7 linked regions of the Sus scrofa genome follow. The protein of the gene in region 1 purifies or fractionates together with the protein of each later gene. This does not show direct contact. Links are inferred from orthologs where the notes say so. Each region holds a gene or a part of one and is shown in the gene's direction. Other genes may lie near its edges. The genes, in order: ACTL6A, PBRM1, DPF2, ARID1A, VPS72, SMARCD1 and SMARCD2.

Region 1 (3,500 bases):
AATTTTCTATGGCAGGGATATATCCTATTTGACAGTTTTTTACACCTAAGGATAAGTATTTTGGGGGGGGGGTTGGTACAAGGAAAAATTTTGAAGCTTATTAATAATTTCCCTAGGAGTTCCCATCATGGCTCAGTGGGTTAAGAACCCAGTTAGTATCCATGAGGATGTGGGTTTGATCCCTAGCCTCACTCAGTGGGTCAAAGGATCCGGTGTTGCCATAAGCTGTGATGTAGGTTGCAGATGGCAGCTGCAGCTCCTATTTGACCCCTAGCCCAGGAACCTCTGTATACTGCAAGATGCGGCCCTAAAAAGAAGAAAAATAATAATAATAATTTTACCTAAATATCAACGAGATTTTTCCTTAGCAACTCAGAGGTCATATGTATTTCACAACTTTTAGACTGTTTTATACTATGTCAGTCAAAAAATTACGGAAGATGCAATATATATATATATATATATTTTAAAATATATTCAGCTAATGAAATCTTGCTAAGTCTAAGCTTATTTAATTTAATTAATTTATTTATTTTTGCTTTTTAGGGCTGCACCCTCAGCATTTGGAGGTTCCCAGGCTAGGGGTTGAATTGGAGTTGTAGCTTGCTGGTCTACGCCACAGCCACAGCAACGCCGGATCCCAGCCGCATCTGTGACCTACACCACAGCTCACAGCAATGCTGAATCCTTAACCCACTGAGAGAGGCTGGGGATTGAACCCATATCCTCATGGATATTAGTCAGGTTCCTTAGCCACTGAGCCACATGGGAACTCCCTAAGCTTATTTTAAAGGATAAAACTGTTCTAAAGCCAATGTTGTTATGTAGGACTATGGTACAAGTATTCCCACTTGTTTTTTATCTCATCATTTTTCCCTGATGGTTATTTATTTTTGCTTTTTAGCGCCACACCCGCAGCATAAGGAAGTTCCCAGGCTAGGGGTCAAATCAGAGCTACAGCTGCTGGCCTACACCAGAGCCACAGCAATGCAGGTTTCAAGCCCCGTCTGCAACCTACATGACAGCTCATGGCAGTGCTGGATTGCCTACCACTGAACCAGGACCAGGGATCGAACCCATATCCTCATGGATACTAGTTGGATTTCGTTTCTGCTGTGCCACAACGGGAACTCTGATGATGGTTACAATTTAAATGTTATACAATTTAGCTTGTAATGTGAGTGTTTAGAATTGGGTTTCTTGAGGCTCAGAGACCTTGCTGGGTAGATTTATACCCTCAAAATGATTTAGCCATCCAGGTATGTGGTCCAGTTTCATTAAGAAAAGTTTTTTTTTAAATAATATTTTTCAGAGTTCCCTGGTGGCTCAGTGGCTTAAAGATCTGGTGTTGTCACTTCTGTGGCTTGAGTTGCTGCTGTGGCATAGCTTCAATTCCTGACTTGGGAACTTCTGCATTCTGCAGACATGAGCAGAAAAAAAAAAGTTTATAAAAATATAGATTGCAAAGACAAATTTCAATAACCTTGTGTCTTAACTCTTTTTTTGTTTAATCCTTAGTGTGTTATCCAAGATTTTCAAGCGTCAGTACTTCAAGTATCAGATTCAACTTATGATGAACAGTATGTTTTCTTATTTTTTCTATGAGGCTTATAATTTAAGAGCTCATTAAAACCTTCATACTAATCTTTTTAAAAATTGTATAATATGTTTGTGTGTATATATAATTGAATTACTTTCTTGTACACCAGAAATTAACACAGCATTGTAAATCAGCTATACTCCAATTAAAAAAAAAACTGCATACTTTATAAATTAGGACAGAAATTGATTAGTTAAACAAATTGTAGAGTATGCTTAACTGGTCTAAAGGTAAAAAGTTAAGAAGTACTAAATAACATTTTAAAAGAAGATTCTCACTCTGCTTTCTTACCTGTTGTTGATTCCTTAGTAGTTTATAATTCTTAAGAGGATTGCTTTTGTCTTTTGTTTAATATTGTTTGATGTTTTAGAGTAGCTGCACAGATGCCAACTGTTCATTATGAATTCCCCAATGGCTACAACTGTGATTTTGGAGCAGAACGGTTAAAGATTCCTGAAGGATTATTTGACCCTTCCAATGTAAAGGTATAAAAGCTTATTTCATAATTAGCTTGGTTTTTCCTATAAAAATCTCTATGTAATTATAAATCCTAAATAAGGTTAAATTTTTTTGGATGTGCTTTATTGTTTGAAGTTCTTCTTTGTGACTATTCGTTTCTGTTTTGTTGTAGGGATTATCAGGAAATACAATGTTGGGTGTCAGTCACGTGGTCACTACAAGTGTTGGAATGTGCGATATTGATATCAGACCAGTAAGTGCCAGTTTTATTTATGGCATAAAGCTGTCTTTCAGGGCAAACCAGTGTCCCCGTTATTTATAATTGCCATCATTTAAGTTGGCAACTTTGGCCATTGACTTTGAAGTCCATTTTCTAATAGAATATGTAAAAAAATGAAGTCCCTAGCAAAGGAAAAATGTGTAATTTTCTTTTTTTTTTTTTTTTTTTTTTTTTTGTCTTTTTAGGGCTGCACACGCAGCATGTGAAAGTTCCCAGGCTAGTTGAACTGGAGCTGTAGCCACCAGCCTACACCATAGCCACAGCAACTCGGGACCTGAACCACATCTGTGACTTACACCATAGCTCATGGCAACACTGGATCCTTAAACCACTGTGTAGGGTCAGGGATCAACCCTGCATCCTCATGGATACTAGTTGAGTTCGTTACCACTGAGCCACGACAGGAAGTCCCAAAAATGTGTAATTTTAAAGCTGTGGTGTCCAGTGTGGTAACTATTGGACACATGTAGCAATTTCAAATTAAATATTTTAAGTTTCACTTCTTTAGTTGCACTAGCCACGTCATAAGTATAGCTACTTGCTAGAGAACGTTTCTGTCATCACAGAAAATTCTTTTGGACAGTGCTGTTCCAGAATGTGGCAAGCCAAAATATGTTATTGGTGATTTTTCATGTGTGTAGTTCAGTTTTATTTTTCAGGAAGGTGTGGTTTAAATTCTGTAACTTTTACATGGAGTTTAGTGGGGTTTTGTTTGTTTGTTTTTGGCTGCACCTGCAGCACGGGGAAGTTTCCTGGGCCAGGAATTGAACCTGCCCTGCAGTTGCAGCCTGTGCCACAGCTCCACTGTGCCACAAGGGAACTTCCAACATGGAGTTTAGTTTAGATCTTCTTACCTTCGTATTTTTTGTGCTTTGACAAATTTTAAGGACAAATTCCATATTTTATACCATATAATTATTAGATTACATATTACTTAAACCCTAGATTTAATTTTTAGCCAGTGTACTGCCTCAGAATTCTTTTTGAGTTAATTTATTTGCATGGAGCGTAGTGCTAAAACTAAGGGTGTATAAAAAGTCATGTTCAAAAAAAAACTTGGGTAGTTATGAAAAATATTCCTTATTTCAACTACTTAATTAGCCAGTTGTGCTACTTCTAGGACAATAGGGTTATAAGTTTAATATAAACTCAAGGGGAAGG
Region 2 (3,500 bases), about 83 Mb from region 1:
CAGCTCCAATTTGACCCCTATCTTGGGAACTTCCATATGCTGCCGCCAGTGTGGCCCTAAAAAAAATAAAAAAGAAAAAAAAATGCTGTTCCTGTGTCCAAGGGAGCATGCAGTCCTAGAGTTAAAACTTAACACTTTTGTTGTGCTTTGAAGTTTCAAAGTGATTTCACGTACATCTCACTGTCACGACAATCTCAGGGAGGTATGTACACTCTAGTGTTCTCATTTTAGAAATGAAGAGACAGATCTGAGAGGTTGTAACTCAAGCAACATCAAATGGATAGAGATGAAAGACTTGGGTCTCTTGTCTTCTGAGCTCAGGTCTTATTGCTCCTCCTACATTTCCTTTCTTGCTAAACTTCCAAAATACATTTTAAAATGTATTCTTTGGATGAGATTTGAAAATTATTCTTAGGTAATAAGGACCTTTTTTTTTCTTACCAAAGTAAATTAATGATTCAAGGAGTTTTTGATGTTGTATGGTCTAAACTATATATACATATACCCCAGTGATTTACATTTTTTGTCATTTGATTTTCAGTGGATTATTTGCAAAAGTAATTTTGATCTCCTGCCACATGGTTGAAGGCTTTTTTTTTTTTTTTTTTGGTCTTTTTAGGGCCTCACCTGAGACCTATGGAAGTTCCCAGGCTAGGGGTCAGATTGGAGCTGCAGCTGCTGGCCCACACCACAGCAAACCAACTCTTCGTCTGCGACCTACACCACAGATCACAGCAATGCTGGATCCCTCAGCTACTGAGCAAGGCCAAGGATTGAACCCACATCCTCATGGATACTAGTTGGGTTTGTTACCACTGAGCCATAATGGGAACTCCACCCCCCCCTTTTTAAACCTTTCCAAAGTTGCATGTGGTATCCTTTCAATGCTCTTAGGACTTTAGGAAAGAAATGTCTTTCTCTGAATTTTTTTTGGTGAGTTTTCAGACTCTTTGCTCACATGAGCCATTCTTAGTTTGTTCCAGCTTGCTAACATTTGGTGTCACATGTGAGCCTTCCACATGTGTTCACCCTTCATTCCAACTCTAATTGAACTCTGCTCTTATTGACTGGGGGGCAGTTGGACAGGCATGCTTCATTCCTGGAATTGACAGTCATTCCAGGTGAGTAAAGGGGAGCCTCAGTGAGACATCTTTAAGCATGTGAAAAGCATTTGGTTTTAAAAATGGAAGCAATGGAAGCGTACTATTAGTGCCTGCCCCTTTGCAGTGGTTTGCTTAGCAGAACAGAACTGATATGCCTGTTTTCTTCAGTTCTCTTATCTTTCTTTAGCAGTTCTGTTTGAATGTTTTCTATCTATCCGTACTCATTTTTGCTCTTTCTGACCCTTCTTTTTATTTCCCCTTTCTCTGCCTTGTTCTTCTCTTTCAGTTTTGAATATATTAACACTGAATCAGCACTTCTAAAGCCCTGCCTTCTCCCCCTGGCTTCACTTGGCCTTCAGACATAATGAGGAGACTGGCTTTTCGAGGCGCTGGTTGTGCTCTGGTAAAGCTGGTAAATTACTGATCATCTACACCCTTTTCCTTTTCTGTCCTTCCTTGCCTTTTCCCTTCCACCTTTCTTAAATTTTGTTATCCTCTTCATAAAGAGTCCCACCTTATGTTCATCAAATTCACTTGTGTCCTCGTCATAGACTGTTTACAGAAGTCTGGTCCTTAGTTTCTTCATCTTAATGAAGTAAGGCCAGTTTGTCAACCTTTTATAAAGCAAACAAAGATCAGCAATATTTGGCTGGCCTTGGTCTAAGTCCTTTGAAGCTTCGGCCAATTGCAAACTAATACACTGTATAACAAACCAAGTCCCGTAGGAAGGAACATCATCACTTTAGACTCTGTGTTTAAACACCATGTGGATTGCAGTTCAGAGGAAGAGATAAGAAACTCCTCTTGTTTCTTAGTTGGTTACCAGAATTTGTTATTTGTTGGTTTGTTTTGCTTCTGCTTTCTGTTCCCTGGAGATACCCAGTTTTTCTCTCCATACCACTGGCAGCCCATTCTTTCAGCTGTTAGTGTCTTAGTTTCCTGAAATTGAATGTTGATGAATGACATTGGGATCACTTTTTTCTTTTTGCTTTAGAGAAAGACTTTTGAAATCATAATATACTGCCTGATGTTGTTAAATTGTATAAACCTTGTAGGACTTTCTTGGGTATACACCCTTTCCCTCTAGCTGTAGCAGATCATTTCAGTAGTTGCATTTCTTGTGTTATAGTCAAATATGTGTATCTGTAAAGTTGTGTTAATATTATTTAGTAGCCTTACTAAAACCGAGAGCAAGTATTTACATATTTCTGAAAGGCCAAGGAGGACCTAAAAGTTCACTTCTGAGGTGGTCTTCCAGATCACCTACTGAAAATATAAAGCTGTGAGTTCCTTAGAGTAGAGCTGAGTACGTCACATAACTGAAAAGGAAGTTAGTCTGGATTAACAGAAAAGTTTTAAAACACAGATTTGCTACTTTAGCATAGGTACAGTAAGTCATGTTAAGTGTTTTAAGGAATGGAGAAAACTCAATTTTCAGTGTGTTAATTTAGGGCATATCTGAAATGCTAGAAGGTTAACCAGTCCTCTGTTCCTCTACCCTTTTGCACTACATATTTGCATCAAGGTCTGCTTCCAGTTTTTTTTGTTTTTTGTTTTTTGTTTTCCCCCACATCCTGGCCCATCTGGAGATTGATCATAATTGTAAGAAACACGGGGGAAAACAAATGAGGTTGCTGACTCCAGAGGTGACCACCTTGGGGTCTCTGTCCCTGAGGCCTGCCTAACTGCCTCAGAGACTAAGGGATTAATACCTTTAACACACTGGTGTACCACTGCATTTTCCAAACTCCAGTCCAGAATAAATTTGAGGCTAGAAGTGATTGATTCCTTCAAAATTGGTAATGTACAAATGAGTATACTTTTGCTGAATTTGTCCCATCCAAGTAAGTGTAGCATTCTGGTAAGCGAAGGGGCTAAAGCAAGATTTAGGACTTGCCCTGAAAAAAAGTAGTTAACCTTCTTTGCAACAGTTTAAATATCCTCCAAAGTGAACCAGAAGCTTGGTAGTCAGTGGCCAGCTGAGGGCTTGGTGGCAAAGTATAAACTTAAGTATAAGAACATGGCTAATTATTTCTTATAGAAGAAGTTGGATTCCATGGGTTCCAAGAGAAGAAGAGCTACCTCCCCTTCCAGTAGTGTCAGCGGGGACTTTGATGACGGGCACCATTCTGTGTCCACACCAGGCCCAAGCAGGAAAAGGAGGAGACTTTCCAGTCTTCCGACTGTAGACCCTGTGAGTAACTTGGATCACAGTTTCTGTCTTCTGTCTTCGCTACCCTTCCTCCGATGATAAGCAGTTATGATGCAAGGCCTGTGTGCTTCTTTTTCCTCTGGTTTGATATTCTCAATTTTTCTTTTATGAAAAGTATATATTTAGCCAAAAGTATTTGAGTGATGGAGTAATTTAGTATTATGAAATAATAAAGTATATCAGCA
Region 3 (3,500 bases), on another chromosome or scaffold:
TGCACCACAACGGGAACTCTGGCATTGATTGGTCTTCTTTTGTCACCAAGGTTTTTTGGTGCTTACCAACAAGGAAGATAGAACTATACATAAAAATAATGAGAGCTAAAAATATTCCAGGTGCTGTACTAAATACTTTTCCATCCTTCTCTCCAGTCTCTACAACCCCATTTCACATATATGGAGGCTGGAGTTCCTGCTGTCTCAGCAGGTTAAGAACCCAGTTAGTCTTTGTGAGGATGAAGGGTCAATCCCTGGCCTCATTCAGTGGGTTAAGGATCCAGTGTTGCCACAAGCTGTGGCATAGGTCACAGATATGGCTCAGATCCCTCGATGCTATAGGCCAGCAGCTCCAGCTCTGATTTGACCCATAGCCTGAGACCTTCCTTATGCCGCAGGTGCAGCTGTGAAAAAGAAACAAAACATGTAGAAGGAGGCTGAAGCAGAGTTTAAAAAAAAAAAAGTAGCTTCCCACAAGGAAGCAGCAAAGCTCTAATTTAAATGTAGGAAATGAAGTGTCAGAGGGAACCACTGATAACATGCTTCCAGGGTGGCAGTCCACAGGCAGGAGAGGGCATGGCTACCTTGGGTATCAGGGAAAGTTTTATGAAAACATGGCATTTGATTTGGCTACTTGGAGATGGTAGGAAAGGCATTCTAAGTTAGGGGAACAACATGAAGAGAGGCCCAGAGGAAGGAGAACCCAGAACATTGAAAGAACAGCAGTGAGGCTGGAGGGAAGGGACCAGGTCACAGAGGAGGTTCTGGGAGTTCCCTTGTGGGTCAGTACAGTAAGGATCAGCATTGTTACTGCAGTAGCTCAGGTCGCTGCTGTGGCACAAGTTTGATCCCTGGGAACTTTTTTTTTTTTTTTTTTTGTCTTTTTAGGGCCACACGCTTGGCATATGGAGGTTCTCAGGCTGAGGGTCAAATTGGAGCTGTAGCCACCAGCCTGTGCCACAGCCACAGCAACACGGGATCCAAGCCACATCTGCAACCTACACTACAGCTTACGGCAACGCCAGATCCTTAACTCACTGAGCTCACATCCTCATGGTTGCTAGTTAGGTTCATTATTGCTGAGCCACAACGGGAACGCCTATTTTTATTTTATTTTTGCTGTACCTATGGCATATGGGAGTTTCCAGGCTAGGGGTCAAATTGGAGCTGCAGCTGCTGGCCAGCTGCAGTGCTGGATCCTTAACCCACTGAGCAAGGCCAGGGATGGAACCCGGTTCCTCGTGGATATTAGATTCGTTAACCACTGTGCCATGACGGGAACTCCCCTGGGAACTTCTTCATGTGGTACGGCCGGGGGGGAAGAGAAGAACTAAAACAGAGGAGGTTCTGGGCAGCCTTGGCTCCCCGTTGTCGGGGAGCTTTTGGGAGTACCTTATTTCTGCCTGTCCTAATCCTCTTGTCCACTCAGCGGATCCTAGAACCGGATGACTTCCTGGATGACCTCGATGATGAGGACTATGAAGAAGACACTCCCAAGCGTCGGGGCAAGGGGAAGTCCAAGGTGAGGGGCCAGGGTGCGGCCTCCAGCCTGAGGGAGTGGGGATTTATTGCTTACTGTTTTCCCACAGTTTTATTACCTGTTGTCATTTTCCCTCTTGAGTGAGATTCGCAGCCGCTTCCAGGTGAGTCTTAACTCTTTAGGCTGAGATACCTTAGTTAAAGCCATCTTTTTACTCTTTTTTCACAGGGTAAAGGTGTGGGCAGTGCCCGTAAGAAGCTGGACGCTTCCATCCTGGAGGATCGGGACAAACCCTATGCCTGTGACAGTGAGTGCCTCGCGAGTGGGTGGGTAGTCCTTGCCTTGGACCCAGCTCCTCGGGATATGAGAGGAGGGAAGGTTGTGTTCTTGCTCAGAATGGTAAAACAAGCCTGGACTCTTGTCCTGCCCCTGACTGGTTCCCTCTGAGATCCCTGAGGGGTGCTGGCTTCTGCTACACGACGGGTGGGCCCTGCATGTTCTGGGGGAGATGTCTGCTGTCCTCTGGGGTGGGGGTGCCAATAGGGGGCACACCCAGCAGGCAGGGTTGGCCTCAATAAATGGCATTCAGGTCTGCTTGCCTTAGTCGAACCAGAGCCCCAGGAGTCCAACACCGACTTTTTCAATGTCTGTTCTCTCTCCCCCTTTTCTCTGACTCGCCCCACTTCTGTCCCTCTACCCTGGGAGCACCATCGCCGCTGAGGTTTCTCTCTCGTTTGCTCTGCTTTCCTGCTGCTGCCGCACCTGTCTCGAGTGTATCAAGGCCTTCTTCTCATGACTTTTCTTTCTGTCTTTCAGATAGTTTCAAACAAAAGCATACCTCGAAAGCGCCCCAGAGAGGTAGCTCTCTCAACTTTTCAGACTTTTGGTTTTCCTATCCCTTGTCCCACCTCCCTTGTTCCTGCCTTTCTCATCTGTGATGCTGGTTTTAAACTGTGGAATGGCATGCGGATAGGAGCAGTGGGCCTTCTGTTGTGCTCCACTCCTCACAGCCCTGGAAGCTGCCTTTACCACTGCTTGTCTCCCACAGACTTGCTCCTAGGGCTGCTCGGGCCCACTGCATGGGGTGGCTTCAAAAGCGTTGTAAAGAACGCATTACAAACAGATCCCTCTGCTGCCCCTTCCCCAAAACAGACACATGGTGGTCAGCTAATGTTCCCTGCCATCCGCCACCTCCTCCACCCATCCCTTCCTCGTCCCTTTTCTGCTGCCCCCTTGCTCTTTTTGGTATCACTGCTCAAGAGTACGAGATGCCTCATGGGGATCTGCTTTCTTGCTGGTTGGTGAGGTTGGGTGGGGCACTGATGTGGGGGTGTCTTTGAGTTTCTTTGGGGAATAACTACTCCAGCAGATTAGTTGATAGGTGATCCCCCAAGAGGTCCACCCCCTGCTCGTTTATCCACATTGGGCAGAGATGGGCTGTGGTGTATATGGGGTAGTGTGAACCTCCCGCATTTACTGAGAGGTAAACAAGTTTGGAGTCCCTCCTCCCTCTGTCTGTCCTGCCATATTGCAAGGCTATAGAAATTCCCTTTCCTTCCTGACTTGGAGCTCCCCAGACTATTCCCAGGGCAAGTGGTGATGGGGCAAGGGCTCAGCCTTCCTAAGAGCCTGTGCAGAAGAGTAGAGATGGCCTTGGGCTGGGGTTAGTAAAAAGAGCCATGCAAGCCAGAGAGCCCCAGGACCTGAGGTTCCTGGCCAGGGGGAGGCAGCTCCCACTGAAGGCCTGTCCCTGAACAGAGCTGATGGGGGTGGTTACCTTTGCCTCAGGTAGAGCTCCCAGCTTAGTGGGGCAGGGATATGGCCCTCTCACGTCCTAACACCGTTCTCTGTGATCTTTAACCCACTCAGTTTGCGGAAAACGTTACAAGAACCGACCAGGCCTCAGCTACCACTATGCCCATTCCCACCTGGCTGAGGAGGAGGGCGAGGACAAGGAGGACTCGCAGCCACCCACCCCGGTTTCCCAGAGGTCTGAGGAGCAGAAATGTAAGCTGAGGTG
Region 4 (3,500 bases), on another chromosome or scaffold:
GAGAAGGGTGACAGACAGCTCTAGCCTCATAACAATCTTTTTCATAGAGATTCTGGGACATTTGTGTGTTTCTGTGAGGGTTAAACGCTTTCCTGCTTACCCTGCATCTCTGTCCACAGCGGGATCAGGGTCAATGCAGGGGCCACAGACACCTCAGTCAACCAGCAGTTCCATGGCAGAAGGAGGAGACCTGAAGCCACCAACTCCAGCATCCACACCACACAGCCAGATCCCCCCATTGCCAGGCATGAGGTGAGGCCAGGAGCAGGGGCAGGTGCTTTGGGGAATCCTGGGCCCGAAGTGCATGAGCTCCTGTGCAGCTCAGGGGGTCCCTGGTCTCCCGACCAGTGAACCCATGTGCCTCGCGTTATTGGAGTAATAGCTTCGTTTGGGGTCTAATGAGCTTTCCTCACTCTTGAGCAGGAGCAATTCAGTCGGGATCCAGGATGCCTTTCCTGATGGAAGTGACCCCACATTCCAGAAGCGGAATTCCATGACTCCAAACCCTGGGTACCAGCCCAGTATGAATACCTCTGACATGATGGGGCGCATGTCCTACGAGCCAAATAAGGATCCTTATGGCAGCATGAGGAAAGGTGACCAACTGCAGTTGGCCTTGTGTCCTTCAGGACAGGGCCAGGGGATGGGGGGATATCTTGAGAGTGGTTCAAGGTTCCTATTGAACCATCCTCTGAGATGAGGCACTTCTGGACCTAACCCCCTCCTTCATCCTCCTTTTTTATTTCCTGCTCTTCACCGTGTCACCCCTTTACATGCCTCTTTAGATCTCTGTTTCAATCCTGTCAGAAAAATAGTTGGAACAAACCTGAGCTCTGAGAGGTCCTTGGCCTTTGGGGCAAGCAAAGTATAGGTTGTTAGGCCTGCTGAACAACCACTTTGCTCACTGTCTTCCCTTTTGCTCTCAGCTCCAGGGAGTGATCCCTTCATGTCCTCAGGGCAGGGCCCCAACGGCGGGATGGGGGACCCCTACAGTCGAGCTGCCGGCCCTGGGCTGGGAAATGTGGCGATGGGACCTCGGCAGCACTATCCCTATGGAGGTCCTTATGACAGAGTGAGGTAAGCATGGCCCCCACTCCAGTCCCACCCCAGACCCCACGGCTAGCACGGACTCAACCTGCTTCTCTGCTTTTTCTTTAGGACGGAGCCTGGAATAGGACCCGAGGGAAACATGGGCACTGGAGCCCCACAGCCGAATCTCATGCCTTCCACCCCAGACTCGGGGATGTATTCTCCTAGCCGTTACCCCCCACAGCAGCAGCAACAGCAGCAGCAGCAACGGTGAGTGAAGCTTGGTCTTGGTGCTGCTGTGGCTAAGGCTTTTCGCCATCCCACCCTGATCCTCTGTTTCTCTCCTTCCTGCAGACATGATTCCTATGGCAATCAGTTCTCCACTCAAGGCACCCCTTCCGGCAGCCCCTTCCCCAGCCAGCAGACCACAATGTATCAGCAGCAGCAGCAGGTGAGAAAGGTAGTGGGTGGGATGACACTGGTTCCTCTGAGAGCCAGTTAGAAAACCTTGGTCAAAAACTTGAGATGGTTTGGTGTTCTTCTTCCCAAATAGCCATTTTTGTCTAAAGAGCCAAGCCCTCAATCTTCTCCCTGTTTGGAGTCTAATCCAGTCTCTAGTTCTCTGCAAGTGTTAGAAACAGGCCTTATTTTGATTTTTAAACTTTGCTACGTTTTTCTACGTAGAGCAAGGGAGAGACAGAGGGAACAAAGAATGGTTCTTACTTTCAGAAACAATTTCAAAAGATAACGTGTAAAGGTGATTCTTTTGTTCCCATGGAATCTGTGTCCCCTCCTCTCTCAGAGGGGCAGAAGTAAGCCCAGTACGTGTCTGATGTAGCCATCTTGTCAGCTGTAGGTCTCCTATCCCCGGGTTCAGAGTATTAATTTCCCCTCTGCTTGTCCCTATCTTAGAATTACAAGCGGCCAATGGATGGCACATACGGCCCTCCTGCCAAGCGGCATGAAGGGGAGATGTACAGCGTGCCATACAGCACGGGTCAGGGGCAGCCCCAGCAGCAGCAGTTGCCCCCAGCCCAGCCCCAGCCTGCCAGCCAGCAACAAGCTGCTCAGCCTTCCCCTCAGCAAGATGTGTACAACCAGTATGGCAACGCCTATCCTGCCACTGCCACTGCTGCTACTGAGCGCCGACCAGCAGGCGGCCCCCAGAACCAGTTTCCATTCCAGTTTGGCCGAGACCGTGTCTCAGCACCCCCTGGCTCCAATGCCCAGCAAAACATGCCACCGCAGATGATGGGCGGCCCCATACAGGCATCGGCTGAGGTTGCTCAACAAGGCACCATGTGGCAGGGGCGTAATGACATGACCTATAATTACGCCAACAGGCAGAGCACGGGCTCTGCCCCCCAAGGCCCTGCCTATCATGGCGTGAACCGAACAGATGAAATGCTGCACACGGATCAGAGGGCCAACCATGAAGGCCCATGGCCTTCCCATGGCACACGCCAGCCCCCATATGGTCCTTCTGCCCCGGTGCCCCCCATGACGAGGCCCCCGCCATCTAATTACCAGCCCCCACCAAGCATGCAGAATCACATTCCTCAGGTATCCAGCCCCGCTCCCCTGCCCCGGCCAATGGAGAACCGAACCTCTCCTAGCAAGTCTCCCTTCCTGCACTCTGGGATGAAGATGCAGAAGGCAGGTCCTCCAGTACCTGCCTCGCACATAGCACCTGCCCCTGTGCAGCCCCCTATGATTCGGCGGGATATCACCTTCCCACCTGGCTCTGTTGAAGCCACACAGCCTGTGTTGAAGCAGAGGAGGCGGCTTACAATGAAAGACATCGGTAAGGAGACCTCCTTGATTGGGTTGCTGAATCTGCCCCTTTGCATCTTGTTCATTGTTCTCTCTCCATCCCGATGTTCTGGATGAGTTAAAAGCAGGTCCAGTGTTGACTAAAAGAGAGTCCAAGAACTTTGGGTAAGGAAGAAATCATCTGATATCAGGCTTTACTAAAGGAATCGCCACACAGTGATGTCCTAAGAGAGCTTAGAAGCCCTGAGGGGCAGATGTGTGTCATCTCCCAGATGGGAACTGCCTCTCACCATGTGTTCTCTTCAGAGTAGCCTGACTGATGAGCCAGCTCTGGGGTGGGAGGGCCCCTGCCAACCTGGGCTTGGTGGATGGACGACGTGGAGGTTTATTTCAGGAACCCCGGAGGCATGGCGGGTGATGATGTCCCTCAAGTCTGGGCTGCTGGCAGAGAGCACATGGGCATTAGACACCATTAACATCCTGCTGTACGATGACAACAGCATCATGACTTTCAACCTCAGTCAGGTGAGTACAGGTGCCTGGGGAAGATTGGGAAGGCCTAGGATCTTCTTGACAAAGACAGTGCTAAGCGACCAGGGAATTAAGCCATCCCTGGTCAACATGATCTCCTCCCACTTGTTCTCTGATACCTTTCGAGCCAGTACTTTGCCAGCAGCCATGGGCCCCCAGTACTGAGA
Region 5 (3,987 bases), on another chromosome or scaffold:
CTACTATTCCGCCACAAGAATTTTGGACTTTCAGGCAGAGAAGGACAAACATCAGGAGTTCCCGTCTTGGCTCAGCGGTTAACGAACCCGGCTAGAATCCATGAGGACTCGGGTTCAATCGCTGGCCTCACTCAGTGGGTTAAGCTGTGGTGTAGGTCACAGATGCAGCTCAGATCCTGCATTGCTGTGGCTGTGGTGTAGGGCAGCAGCTGTAGCTGATTCAACCCCCAGCCTGGGAACCTCGATATGCAGCGGGTGCAGCCCTAAAAAGAAAGAAAGAAAGAAAAGAAAATAATAAAATAAAATAGATAATCAGAAGTTGCTTTGTGTAGGTCGAAGCTCTGGCTTGGATTTGATCCCTAGTCCTGGAACTTCTGCATGTCATGCGGGTTGCCGAAAAAGGGGGAATTTTTTTTTTTTTTTTTTAATTTTACTTAAGGAGTTCCCATTGTGGCTCAGTGGTTAACGAGTCTGACTGGGAACCATGAAGTTGCGAGTTTGATCCCTGGCCTTGTTCAGTGGGTTAAGGATCCGGCGTTACCCTGAGCTGTGGTGTAGGTTGCAGAAGCGGCTGGGATCCGCGTTGCTGCGGCTCTGGCGTAGGCCTGCAGCTACGGCTCCGATTCGACCCCTAGCCTGGGAACCTCCATATGCCACGGGAGTGGCCCAAGAAACCGCAAAAAGACAAAAAAAAAAAAAAAAACAACTTACTTAAAAAGACGAATGGGTATATGTATAACTGAATCACTTTTCTGTACACCTGAAATTAACACAACATTGAAAATCAACTATAATCCAATATAAACTAAAAACTAAATTTAAAAAACATTTGGACTTTACCCTGTAAGTCGACAAGGAAGGAGCCATTAAAGATTTTTGAGCAAAAGTGTGACAAAATCTGGGTTTTTAGAAAGGTTCCTACTGGCAGCAGAGTGGAAAACGAACTGGAGCAGAGGGAGACTGACCTCTTCTAAATGAAAATTTCTTGGCTCCCGATTTCTGCACTCAGTGTAGCGGGGTTTCTGGGGGTCACCAAATCGAAGTATTTCACAGCCCAGATGGGCGCCGGAACTGGGGCGGGGAGCTTGGGGTAGTCTCTGCGCAGGCGTGGGCGGGGCTGAAGCCGTGAGAAGATTTCGGGGGCGGGACTAGGAATCTCTCGACGCTCTGCTACTTCTGCCTGTAGATGACCGGCTTCCGCCGTCGCATGCCGCCCGCAGGTAGTGGTGTCGAGAGCCGATCCTTGAGGACCGCGCTGTGTGAGGGGTTGCTGGTGGTGGCGCAGTCTGAGTAGGCACTATGAGTTTGGCTGGGGGCCGGGCCCCCCGGAAGACCGCAGGGAACCGGCTTTCTGGTCTCCTGGAGGCAGAGGAGGAAGATGAGTTCTACCAGACGACTTATGGGGGTTTCACTGAGGCAAGAGCCGGGCCCAGGAAGAGGGAGGGAAGGAAGCTGAAAGGAGTCCTGAAGGGAGAAACCTCGGACAAAGAAGGGGGTGGGGGAAGAGAGGATCCTTGGTAGCTGATACTCGAGATGGGGTGGGCGAGACTGGAGGATAAACTGGAGTCCTGGAAGGGAGAGTCCTGGATGGCTGAAACCTGCTGTGTACTTCCCCAGCTGCATCTCTCATTGCACTTCTGACGTCTAGCATACAGCACATCGTAGTCACGCGGTGTATGCTCGTTGGCCCACTGCCTGGTTATTCATCTCAAGTATAGAAAAGAAATCTCTCTCAAGAAAAAATAGAGGCACTTAGCATACTCCTTTTTCAGCTTTCAGATCTCGGTGTAAATGTCTCTTGGGTAAATAGCCTTTCCTTGATTGTGCTAAGAAGTTTCTCCCTATATATCTTTCGTAGAACCTATTTCGATTTGTAATAGCTTTTGCTGGCTTGTTTATACTTTTCTATCAGATTGTAAGCGCTTTAAGGTTAGAGATAATCTGTTTTGTTTAACAGTACACATGTCCAATGCCTGGTCCAGTGTCCTCATTGGGTTGGCACTTGTTAAATTTTATATTGATTGAATCTAACCGTTCATCAAATATATTAAACGCATAGAGCAAGCCAAGAACTGTGATAGGCTTTAGGGAAACAGAGTATTAAAAACACCACTTTGGGGAGTTCCTCTGTGGCTCAGCCAGTTAAGGGCATGGTGTCACTGCTGCCGCTTGGGTCACCTCCTTTGGCACCAGTTCAGTCCCTGGTGGGGAAGTTGCACATGGCTCCAGCGCAGCCAAAAAGAAAACAAACCAAAAAACAGACCCCACCATTTTGTTCTGACATATTCCAGATTCCAGTGGGGGAACTAGCTGAATTAAGTCAGTTTAAATTCCACATGGAGCCAAAGTTGTTTGGGATAGGCATCAGGATAAGCTGAGGACCATATGAAAAGTGGCCTTGGCTGGCTGAATAGTGGTAGGAGTAGGAGCAGGGGAAGGAGGAGGGTTGGTCCAGCGAGGGGGTGGGGCAGAGATGTATAAAAACGCTGAGATCCTTGTCAGGGACCTGCATATCTACTGTCATTATCCAGACCATGAAGGAGAATAAAGGTTGGTCAGGCTGGAGGGAGTAGGCGTGGGCCAGATCATGGAGGGCTTGTGAGCCATGTTAAGGAGTTTTGCTCTTCATCCAGAGGACTGAGAATATTTGTCATAGTTTTATGATCAGATTTGTACTTTATAAAGATCACTCTGTATTGTGGATTTGAAGAAGGCAGCGGGAGTAGAGAAACATGATCAGGAGGGTTCAGGAGAAATTAAGGAGAAATAGAATCCACAGGACTTGGTGACTGATTAGGAATCATCACAACAACCCCCTAAGCAAGTAGTTTAAAATAGAACTTTCCCATCCCTCCTCCAAAGGCCATTTTCCTATTCCTGTCATTTTACGAGTTGTTATTTAATATGTACCCTTCCTTCTTCCAAAAAGGATTTAAGGAGGCTTACGATATAAACAAAAAGTAGGAACAGTAAAAATAGAGACAGATCAGAAGTAATTGTACCAAGAGCCTCAGCTAAAATGGTAGTAGCAATTGATTTTAAATTTAGCTGTGAGCTTCCTGGCAGCCAAACCCTGAATTTCTTTTTTCAGTAGGAAAGAAGCATACAAGTTCTTTAAGAGAGACAAACTTATTCAACATTAAATCCTAGGGAGAATTGCGTCCTTATATATAAAGTAACAGGGGTTTGGTAGATGATGTAAAAACAGTCTCTTGATTAGTCATGTCTATTAATGACCCTTGATAAAAGCCAAAGGAATGGTAGTAAGTCCATAACTTAGTGAAAGCATTTCAATTGGGCATTAAGCTAATGTGTAGTTGAACTGCTACCTCTGGTGATATGACTTAGTAGGGTCAGAGCTAAGGGGATTAACATGTTCCCAGGCTGTCTTTCACAAACATCAGTTGGGAGGAAATGATGGTCATCAGTGCAAGACTGAAGCTGACAGGCTTGGAGTGTCAACTGTCTGTTATTTGCTTGTTTTGGCAGTGTGTATACCAAGATTAGCCCGTTAGTCTCATCATTGATTGAAGAGAAAGCCACATGTTTGAAGTTCTGCCCCACCCAATTAACTCCTTCGCCTCCAAGTGATTTTTTTTCTTCTTTTTTTTGCCTTTTTAAGGCTGCACCTGCAGCATATGCACGTTCCCAGGCTAGCTGTTGAATCCGAGCTGTAGCTGCCAGCCTGCTCCACAGCCATAGCAACGCCAGATCTGAGCCTGGTCTGCAGCCTACATCACAACTCACAGCAAAGCTAACGTGACCCATTGGGCCCCGAGGCAACTTCCTTCTTTTCTAATCTTGTAGCCCTACAGGGCAGTCAGTTAATGTTGGAAGGAGGCTGTCTGTGCTAGCGCCAAAGACAATCAGCTAGGACAACTTCTTGCCAGAGATAACCTGCTTTACTTAGGTCCAAATCCTTATTCCCTAATCATGCTATACGCATTCCTGCTTCTACACCTTTGTTCCTGCTGTTTGATCTGCCCA
Region 6 (4,114 bases), on another chromosome or scaffold:
CTAGAGGGGAAGTTAAAACTCTGCCGTTCTGTCCCTCCCTTCCTACTTTAATGAGAAACCTGTGAGGCCAAGGACCTGCCGTGCCTCCTCCACCAGGCGCTCCCCTCAGGCCAGAGCGCTGCCTCTTCCCAGGCCTTCTCTGCCCAGCTGTCTCTCAGTCTCCACCCCCAGAACAAGACCTGTGGCAGGTCACCTGTGCATTGACCTGGAGCTGCAGGGTGAGGCTGTAGGATCTTTGGGAACTCTGGGTTCCTGGGAACTCCTAGGAGATCAGACCTCTCCAGAGGGAAGCAGGAGCAAGGCCAAAGGGTGTGCACCAGATGGGGAACAGCAGGCAGGGCTATGGGTGACGCATGTCTCTGGTCTAATAAACTGGGTTTCAACCATCTCCTCTTCAGTGTCGTTCTTCTCTTATTTGAATAGTATGTAGGACTTCCTACTAAGAGCTGACCTTGGATTGGGGCCAATCAGGGGAGGAGTAAGGGAGCCAGAGCAGGGATACGCTGGTCCTGGGATGGGACAAGCTGACCATCACACCAGAAATGGTTTGAACCACTGGGCAGGGAAAGAGGAAGAGATCAAAGGTTAACAAAGATCCCAAAGAGAAATCCTAGTACAAAGGAGGCTTTGGAGACGGCGTGGGGTCAAACTTCAAAATATACTTAAAATCTGGAAGCAGGTTAGGTTAAAGGTCAGGGGAAAGGCTGGGTTGAAGTTCTAGCATTAGGTAGTTATTGAGGCACTTTATCTGTGGCATGAGCCCTGGGCTATGAGCCAGACCTGGATTCTAAGCCTTGGCTTTCGCGTTAACTTGCTGGTTGACTACACCGAGTCATTTCCTCTCGAGTTCACCTCTCCTGTTTGCAAAATGGAAAGGTGCGTCCTCCTCTTCGGCTCCTGGGCTTAGAGCCGGAGGAGAAGGAAAAGAAACACGCGCTTTGGAAAGTTAAAACGCCCTGCGCCCAGATGAAGCAGTTACTCCATCACCCTCTTCATCAGAGCTTTGGGACGGTGCTGTGGTCCCCCTTTCCAGGTCCTTGTCTTCCTCCCGCCGGCCTGGGGGCGCCCGCTCACGGGCCTCTCTATCCCAGAGCTCTTCTCGATGGTGTTCCCTGCCGGACCGCGAAGGCTGGAGGGAGTGGTCAGCACGCTTTTTCCGCTCGTCGCCCCCCTCTAGCCCACAGTCTCGCTGCCCTGGGCCTCCCGTGCCGGCGGGCCGGCCGGGCGGACAGGCGGGCGCGCTGGGGGCGCGCGGGGGCGGGGGGAGTTCCGGTTCCGGTTCTTTGTGCAGCTGCAGCAGCGGCTCCGGGAAAGATGGCGGCCCGGGCGGGTTTCCAGTCTGTGGCTCCGAGTGGCGGCGCCGGAGCTTCAGGCGGGGCGGGCGCGGCGGCTGCCCTGGGCCCGGGCGGGACTCCGGGGCCTCCGGTGCGAATGGGCCCGGCGCCGGGTCAAGGGCTGTACCGCTCCCCGATGCCCGGAGCGGCCTATCCGGTGAGTGGGGCAGGAGGAGGGGCGCGCGGGCCGGGGGCGGGGCCGAGCGGGGGCCTGGGAGTGACGGGGTGGGGGGAGGAGTAGGAGGGACTCCCCTGGGAGGGATTCGGTTCGCGAGGGAGGGTCGGGGGAGGCAGTGCGCGGAAGGGAGGGGAGGCGGTTAGCATCCCCACCAGCTCGTAGGGGCATTGTTTCCTTGGGGAGTCGGGGTGTAGAACCAGGGTGAACGAAGCGGGGCCAAGGGTGGGCTTGTGAGAGTTGGAGTGCAAAAAGGCTTAGGCAGCTCCAGTGCCCAGAGGAGCACAGAAGGTGTACCTGGCAAATTGAGGTCAGCTTTTGAGGAGATGGTAGCTGGCTGTGCTGTCTGAGTACTGGGAGCAGAGGAGATGTCCAATGGCAGATACAAACTAGACTGGGGAGAATTTGAGTATAATCTGCTCTCTTAGCTTTGGGCTGGAGTCCCCTGTGGGATCACAAGTGGAGCAGAGGAAGCTCCAGTGATCTATATTTCAAAGAGGTAGAGGGGTCTTCTCCCACCCCCCATGCCCCCAGCCTGGTTCGATTCAGAGAACTCAGGCTTCCCCCACTTTCCCTTTCCTGGTGGGGTTTGCAAGGGAAGCCATGACATCTCTGGGTCCTCTCCCCTCTGTAGAGACCAGGTATGCTACCAGGCAGCCGAATGACACCTCAGGGACCTTCCATGGGACCCCCTGGCTATGGGGGGAACCCTTCAGTCCGACCTGGCCTGGCCCAGTCAGGGATGGACCAGTCCCGCAAGAGACCTGCACCTCAGCAGATCCAGCAGGTCCAGCAACAGGCGGTCCAAAATCGGAACCACAAGTAAGATGACCCCAGGGTGGAGAGCGGGAGGGCGGACACAGGTGGTGGGAGTACCTCAAGCAAGAAGTGACGACGCTGTGTCAGCAGACAGTGGAGACTGTTTCGTGTTTGGTGGGGGTGGGGGGTGTCTTTGATTTGAGAGAAGCTTTGCGGTTCTTTCTCTTGACTATAAATGGAGGTGCTGACAGCCTGTCTTCATGTTCTGGCTAGTTCCATCCCAACCTGATAACAGTATTTATTCCAAACAGTGCAAAGAAAAAGAAGATGGCTGACAAAATTCTACCTCAAAGGGTGAGTCCAGGCTGTATAGGTCTTCTTGAGGGTGTGTTGAGTTGGAGAAGAGAGATGGCCAGCTCTAGATCCCAATGATACCTTTCTGTTCCTCAGATTCGTGAACTGGTACCAGAATCCCAGGCCTATATGGATCTCTTGGCTTTTGAAAGGAAACTGGACCAGACTATCATGAGGAAACGGCTAGATATCCAGGAGGCCTTGAAGCGTCCCATCAAGGTAACGCAGGAGAGTGCTAGGCAGAGAGCCAAAGGAGAGGACTCGGGAACCTTCAGCAGGCTAAGGATGAGAAATCAAAGGCATAGCGCCGCTCTCCTTGGCATTTAAATTACATCTCTCCCTTCCGCCTACAAACCGAGAATTACATTAGAAGCATAAGAACAGAACAGCTCAGGGGGAGGGGCTTTTGGTAGTTCTTGCACCAGAAATATACTCTGTTGGTGTTTTTGCTATAACTGCTCTGTCACCTTGGGAACCTGGCACCTCGCATGACTTTGTCTACCTGGCACCCCAGTGCATGCACTTGCATTTGGGCCAGTGGCCTGTGCTCTTCTAGGTGGAATCTCCGTCCACCCACCCCAGGGCCTGGGTAAATAGTAAGCCAGTCTGTTAGGAGACGTTTTGGGGTTTGGGGAGACCCTGGTCTTCAGCGTGAAACCACTGAAGCCCCACTGTCAATCCTGTTTCTGCCTTCCTCAGCAAAAACGGAAGCTGCGAATTTTCATTTCTAACACTTTCAATCCGGCTAAGTCAGATGCCGAGGATGGGGAAGGGACGGTGGCTTCCTGGGAGCTTCGGGTAGAAGGACGCCTCCTGGAGGATGTGAGTTCAAGGTCCACTGTGGTCAGCATCTAGGGTGGGAGCTGCTGGGAACAAGCAGTATTGTCTGGTTGGCAGGAAGCCTGACTGGTGCTCACAGCTCCTGTTGGGAACAGCAGGGAGAGGGTCACTGTGTTCCCTGCGCTAAAAGACAATGGTTCTTTGTGTCTGGCTCCCACAGCCTGGCTCTCTCTGTGGTATCGTATGGAGAACCGTATTGCCCTGGGATTTGATTTGTTGTTTGTCTCCCTCCTGATGCTGCTAGCCCTTGGATTTGGCAGTATCTGCAGATTTTCCAGTTAGGGTTGTTCTGGTTTTGTTTTTGTTTTTTAAACCAAGTGAGTTTGCACTTAGCATTTGAGGCCCTGCTTTCCTCCCAGAGTCCTTGAGGTCCTTGATTCCCGCTGCAGTATTGCCGTCTTCCCAGTTTCCACTGGAGACATTTCACAGTTTCCATGGGCGAGGTCTCTCGGACAGGCTCTTTGCTGCCTCATGGGGAACATCAGCTGACAGGTGATAGCCCCCAGACTTCACACCCCAGAAGCTCCTTGGGGAAGCTCACCTGCCATTCCCTTATATTCTCTTGCTCTCTATTTTTAGCTGTTCACAGGCAAGCCAGTATGAATGCATTTTTCAGGAGAACCAGGGCTCGTGTCAGAGCCTCCTTCTTTTC
Region 7 (4,249 bases), on another chromosome or scaffold:
TTTACAAGCCGGAGAGAGGGGCCCTGGTTCAATGACTGGAACAATTCTAGTGGTCTTCTCAGACTGACAGGTAACCCACTTTTAGGGAGAAAGAGGAGAGGGATCCCTGAGAAGACCAAGAGGCAGGAAAGCAGCAGCAAAAGCAGGGTTTATCACTGGAGGAAAGATACCAGGAAGTACAGATGAGCAAAACTGACTAAAAATGGTTGCTCTATAAATGTGGAACGCTGTGGGGCAAGTCTTGGTTGGGGATGAAAACAAAGGAGAGGATTTGTATGGTAAAAAAGTCTATCTTGGATACTTAAAAAGTGTAGTCTGAGTAACAACAGCATTGCTCAGGAGCTTGTTAGGAATGCAGAATCTTGAGCCTACCCTAGAACCCAGGCCTACTGAAACTTAATCTGCATTTTTAACAAAAGCCTCAGATGTTTCTTATGCTCCTTAAAGAAGCACTGGTCTGTATCATGGGGAAAAAAAATCCCAGAATGTCAGAGGGGCTCCCTGGCACAGCTGAAGCAGCTTTATTTTGCATACCTGCTAACACAGATCTGATTTCCGAAAAGGTATTAAGTTTTTGAATAGTGCTTTAAATCCTGGAGAAAGACCTTATTTAACTTAGGGGTTTCTCATAATGCAAACTTCCTTCTCCTAGAAACATTTCCTCTGGAGTAAAGTATTAGAATTCCTTAAAGTGAGGCAGAGGCACGTTCGAAATATGCGATAAAAACTTGGCGCTTGGCCAAGTCCACTCTTCGCACAGCTGCATAGGGTCTGGAGCAGCCAAGTCTCTTGACAGCTCTGAGCCACTAGGATGGGCTTTTAGAGTCACGCTGGCGGCTGTTCTGCCGCAGAAAGCAGCTTTAAGTTGTCTGTAATGTTAAAACGTAGAAAGGAGCTCTGACAACTATTTTCAGGGACCGAGGCTGGGTACCTCGGCGAACCAGCCGCAAGGGGGGAAGAGAGCAGCAACTACCCGTTTACTACAGTAGTGCTAGTGACCTTCGACCTCTGACCTTCTGCATTTCTTGAGTTGCTTCCGCCCCCTCCCCTCCAGTGGAGGGCCGGCCCAAGGGTATGGGCGGGGCTCCGGGGACCGGCGGTTAGAGGCGGTGCCTGTAGGGGGGCGGGTCTCGCGAGGGCGGTATTTGAGGGGGCATCCTCGCATTGGCCAGCTGGGTATAGGCGGGGCCTAGCGCTGGGCTGGGTTAGGCGGGGGAGGGAGTTAACTGCAGCTTCTGGGTAACTGGACGCTGGCGTTGAAACCTCCAGAGACCGGCGAAGGCTAGCGGGCCCGTAGCGGATCCCGGATCCGGAATTTCCCGGGCAGGACCGGAATCAAGACCGGCCCGGCCCCAAACTGGGTTTGTGAGGAACTCGCGAACTTGGATTAGGAAATCCCGGAACCCGGATCAACAAACCCCAGAACCCGGAATTTAGATCGGAAAGTCCCGGACCGCGGAGCGCGGAGCGAACTCAGCGCGGAGCCCGGAGCCCGGATTGAGACACCGCGGGACGGGACGGAGCGATGTCGGGCCGTGGCGCGGGCGGGTTCCCGTTGCCCCCGCTGAGCCCTGGCGGCGGCGCGGTTGCCGCGGCCCTGGGAGCACCGCCTCCGCCAGCGGGACCCGGCATGCTGCCCGGACCGGCGCTAAGGGGGCCGGGGCCGGCTGGAGGCGTGGGGGGCCCGGGGGCCGCCGCCTTCCGCCCCATGGGCCCCGCGGGCCCCGCAGCACAGTACCAGGTGAGGAGGGCTGAGGGGCGGGCGGCGCCGCGAGCACACTCGGGTAGGGGGCGAAAGAGGCCTCGAGTGAGGGTCCTGGAGCAGCCTTCCTGACAGAGGGCACAGGGGCTCTGCATGCGGAGTTCACGGGGCACTGTGCGGGGCAAAGCCAGGGACTCTGGGGCTCGGCTAGGTGGTTGCGGAGGAGTTAGGGGAGAAGGTAAGAGCGACTCTCGGGTGAAGGGTTTGAAGCTGTTGGGAGGGTGTGAGGTCTTGGAACAGGGGTTCTGAGTAACTGAGAGATGGAGGAGTTGTTGGAGCTAGTGAATTGTAGGCGGGTGGCTTGAGAAGTCTAGTGTAGATTCTCCGCAATGGGGTCCTGGGAAGTGATGAGAAAGTTTTGGAAAAGGGCCCTCACTGAGAAACCAGGGTTACCCTACATTGGTCTTGGTCCTACTCCAAGGCTGCTCTTTTTTCTCTAGTTGGGAACTGGCAGAGTTTTAGCGTGTCTGAGATGGCTCCCAGCTGCTGAGGAGGAAGAAGGGCCTGGCTTCCCACCGACAGGAGGTGGAGGATAGGACCAGCGATTCCAGCCTGTGCAGGGGGAGTCTACTCCTGGGTCATGCGCAGGGGCCTTCACACAGGGGTGACTCTGGGTTAGACCAGAGAGGGTGGTGGCTAGGCCTGAGAAAGGAGGGAAACCCAGCCCATTCTGGACAGACTCTCTTTGGCTTTCTGCCTGGTGTCACAGTGTCCAGGAGTTGATTAGTCTGGGGGAGCATAGAGGCTCCAGTGAGCCTTGCTGGTCTGGGGCTGGAGGAGCCTGTGAGAGTTGCTTCAAAGGGTTCTGTCCTTACCTCTTTGGTGCTTGGCTTTGCAGAGGGCTTCTTGGGTTGCAGCTTCAAAGGCCATGGAGATGCAGAGACTCCATTCTTGGGGTCAGTGTGTGAGGAACTCAGCCTGACCCTGGGGTTGGGGCTTACCAGCCCCCAAGTTCATTGTTTCTGGTTGCCCCAGAATGCTTAGGAATTGTGCCCATTCTTTTCCTACCCTCTGTCCACTTTTTTTTTTTTTGTCTTTTGTCTTTTTAGGCCTGCACCCGCGGCATATGGAGGTTCCCAGGCTAGGGGTCGAAGCAGAGCTGCAGCTGCCAGCCTACATCAGAGCCGCAGCAACGCCAGATCCGAACCATGTCTGCCACCTACACCACAACTCATGGCAATGCCAGATCCTTAACCCACTGAGTGAGGCCAGGGATTGAACCTGCAACCTCATGGTTCCTACTCGGATTCGCTTCCAGTGCACCACAACGGGAACTCCATCCCCACTTTTAATTAGCCTTTTAGGTTCTCACAACGCCATCTGTATCCCAATCCATGTATCCCAGCACTTGACACTGGCTTCTTGCTAATCTCTCAGGGAAGCTAGGAGATTCTCGTGTCTCCAGTAGAGGTCCCCCAAATGGATCCTCATAGAGTAGGGTACACATCCTCCCAGGACCCCTGGGCCTTCACTTTGTAAAGAGATGCTTAACTGGGGACAGTGATTTTTCCCTCTAACTTCTCATTCTCCCTCCACCCTCTAAAGAAAACCTAGGGCCTGGGTATTGATAGAGACAGACCTGGTCCCAGCGGCTCCAGCTGGGATTCATCTTTCCCATCTTGCTCTCCCCCTTGGCCCAAGGTGTCACGGAGGGGTCCCTGCATCTGTCATTCTGGCCCTTGGGCCAGTTAGCTGAGGTGCCTCCCTTTGGGCTGTTGGCCTGGGAGGGATCTAAAGGGCAGATAGGAGCCCCTCCACTTTTCCTCAACCTGCAGCCCATGGGGAATGTGGCCTGGGGAAAACCCCTGAGCAGGTGGCCTCGGGCAAGTGGCAGGGCTGAGCTGGCTGGCTGGGTAGCCCAGGCTACCAGGAGCAAGACCTTGAGGAAGGCACTGAGCCTCTGCTTGTGTGGGCTTCTCCCCATCTCCTGCTTCTCTTCCAGGGACCAGAGGGGCAGTAAAGGTAGATGGGGGGAAGGAGGAGGCAGCTCATCTTGAGTGCAGAGAGGATCCTACTTGGCCTCTTTTCAAGTTCTTTATGTGACTTCCAGGAGAAGAGACTTGAGATCTCAGGAGCAATGGGCACCTCTCTGTTGGGGCTCACGAGGTGAGTCAGGGAGCAAGGCGCTCAAGCTCACGGCGGGCAAATAGGCAATCTTGTTGATAGAAGGGAAATGATGACCCAGCTCCTTGCACGCAGTGTTTCCAGCTGTGGATCACAGTCTACTAAGGAACTTGAAGAAAACAAAAAATGGGAAAAACAAACCCCCCCAAGAACACAGATTGCTGGGTTCACACCAGAGAGTTCAGAGTATTTTCTACGTATGTGGGGGTATGTTCTCTTCTCCTTGGTCCTTAGGCCCAGCCACCAGGAGCACCAGGGCCACAGGCTCTGAGCCCTGGCAGAGCATGCTCTCTGGAGGCAGCAACATCGGGCTGGCCTCTCTCCCCTGCTGTCCCAGATGGTGGAGGTAGAGTCCTGTTGAAG

What was found.
Region 2: the proteins of ACTL6A (region 1) and PBRM1 fractionate together in Homo sapiens (co-fractionation; 4 studies listed by BioGRID and IntAct, with this or other methods). This does not show direct contact. The link is inferred for Sus scrofa from reciprocal best matches to the Homo sapiens genes ACTL6A and PBRM1.
Region 3: the proteins of ACTL6A (region 1) and DPF2 purify together in Homo sapiens (affinity purification with mass spectrometry; 5 studies listed by BioGRID and IntAct, counting the BioPlex papers as one, with this or other methods). This does not show direct contact. The link is inferred for Sus scrofa from reciprocal best matches to the Homo sapiens genes ACTL6A and DPF2.
Region 4: the proteins of ACTL6A (region 1) and ARID1A purify together in Homo sapiens (affinity purification with mass spectrometry; 5 studies listed by BioGRID and IntAct, with this or other methods). This does not show direct contact. The link is inferred for Sus scrofa from reciprocal best matches to the Homo sapiens genes ACTL6A and ARID1A.
Region 5: the proteins of ACTL6A (region 1) and VPS72 purify together in Homo sapiens (affinity purification with mass spectrometry; 3 studies listed by BioGRID and IntAct, with this or other methods). This does not show direct contact. The link is inferred for Sus scrofa from reciprocal best matches to the Homo sapiens genes ACTL6A and VPS72.
Region 6: the proteins of ACTL6A (region 1) and SMARCD1 purify together in Homo sapiens (affinity purification with mass spectrometry; 8 studies listed by BioGRID and IntAct, with this or other methods). This does not show direct contact. The link is inferred for Sus scrofa from reciprocal best matches to the Homo sapiens genes ACTL6A and SMARCD1.
Region 7: the proteins of ACTL6A (region 1) and SMARCD2 fractionate together in Homo sapiens (co-fractionation; 5 studies listed by BioGRID and IntAct, with this or other methods). This does not show direct contact. The link is inferred for Sus scrofa from reciprocal best matches to the Homo sapiens genes ACTL6A and SMARCD2.

What each region holds. Positions count from the first base shown.
Region 1 is NC_010455.5:117,618,915-117,622,414, forward strand, and holds part of ACTL6A (actin-like protein 6A), read left to right. Parts: intron 1-1,518; coding exon 1,519-1,580; intron 1,581-1,970; coding exon 1,971-2,085; intron 2,086-2,231; coding exon 2,232-2,312; intron 2,313-3,500.
Region 2 is NC_010455.5:34,814,618-34,818,117, reverse strand, and holds part of PBRM1 (protein polybromo-1), read left to right. Parts: intron 1-1,389; exon of another isoform or gene 1,390-1,467; coding exon of another isoform or gene 1,468-1,515; intron 1,516-3,144; coding exon 3,145-3,297; intron 3,298-3,500. UniProt on the Homo sapiens protein: Involved in transcriptional activation and repression of select genes by chromatin remodeling (alteration of DNA-nucleosome topology). Required for the stability of the SWI/SNF chromatin remodeling complex SWI/SNF-B (PBAF).
Region 3 is NC_010444.4:6,876,499-6,879,998, reverse strand, and holds part of DPF2 (zinc finger protein ubi-d4), read left to right. Parts: intron 1-1,429; coding exon 1,430-1,522; intron 1,523-1,708; coding exon 1,709-1,787; intron 1,788-2,296; coding exon of another isoform or gene 2,297-2,338; intron 2,339-3,349; coding exon 3,350-3,487; intron 3,488-3,500. UniProt on the Homo sapiens protein: Plays an active role in transcriptional regulation by binding modified histones H3 and H4. Is a negative regulator of myeloid differentiation of hematopoietic progenitor cells. Might also have a role in the development and maturation of lymphoid cells.
Region 4 is NC_010448.4:84,115,729-84,119,228, forward strand, and holds part of ARID1A (AT-rich interactive domain-containing protein 1A), read left to right. Parts: intron 1-119; coding exon 120-252; intron 253-420; coding exon 421-596; intron 597-926; coding exon 927-1,077; intron 1,078-1,158; coding exon 1,159-1,299; intron 1,300-1,383; coding exon 1,384-1,480; intron 1,481-1,941; coding exon 1,942-2,833; intron 2,834-3,196; coding exon 3,197-3,327; intron 3,328-3,500. UniProt on the Homo sapiens protein: Involved in transcriptional activation and repression of select genes by chromatin remodeling (alteration of DNA-nucleosome topology).
Region 5 is NC_010446.5:98,061,074-98,065,060, forward strand, and holds the start of VPS72 (vacuolar protein sorting-associated protein 72 homolog), read left to right. Parts: upstream 1-1,187; 5' UTR 1,188-1,299; coding exon 1,300-1,416; intron 1,417-3,987. UniProt on the Homo sapiens protein: Deposition-and-exchange histone chaperone specific for H2AZ1, specifically chaperones H2AZ1 and deposits it into nucleosomes.
Region 6 is NC_010447.5:15,991,493-15,995,606, forward strand, and holds the start of SMARCD1 (SWI/SNF-related matrix-associated actin-dependent regulator of chromatin subfamily D member 1), read left to right. Parts: upstream 1-1,314; coding exon 1,315-1,491; intron 1,492-2,143; coding exon 2,144-2,331; intron 2,332-2,579; coding exon 2,580-2,622; intron 2,623-2,718; coding exon 2,719-2,841; intron 2,842-3,321; coding exon 3,322-3,444; intron 3,445-4,114. UniProt on the Homo sapiens protein: Involved in transcriptional activation and repression of select genes by chromatin remodeling (alteration of DNA-nucleosome topology).
Region 7 is NC_010454.4:15,090,477-15,094,725, forward strand, and holds the start of SMARCD2 (SWI/SNF-related matrix-associated actin-dependent regulator of chromatin subfamily D member 2), read left to right. Parts: upstream 1-1,449; 5' UTR 1,450-1,525; coding exon 1,526-1,741; intron 1,742-4,249. UniProt on the Homo sapiens protein: Involved in transcriptional activation and repression of select genes by chromatin remodeling (alteration of DNA-nucleosome topology).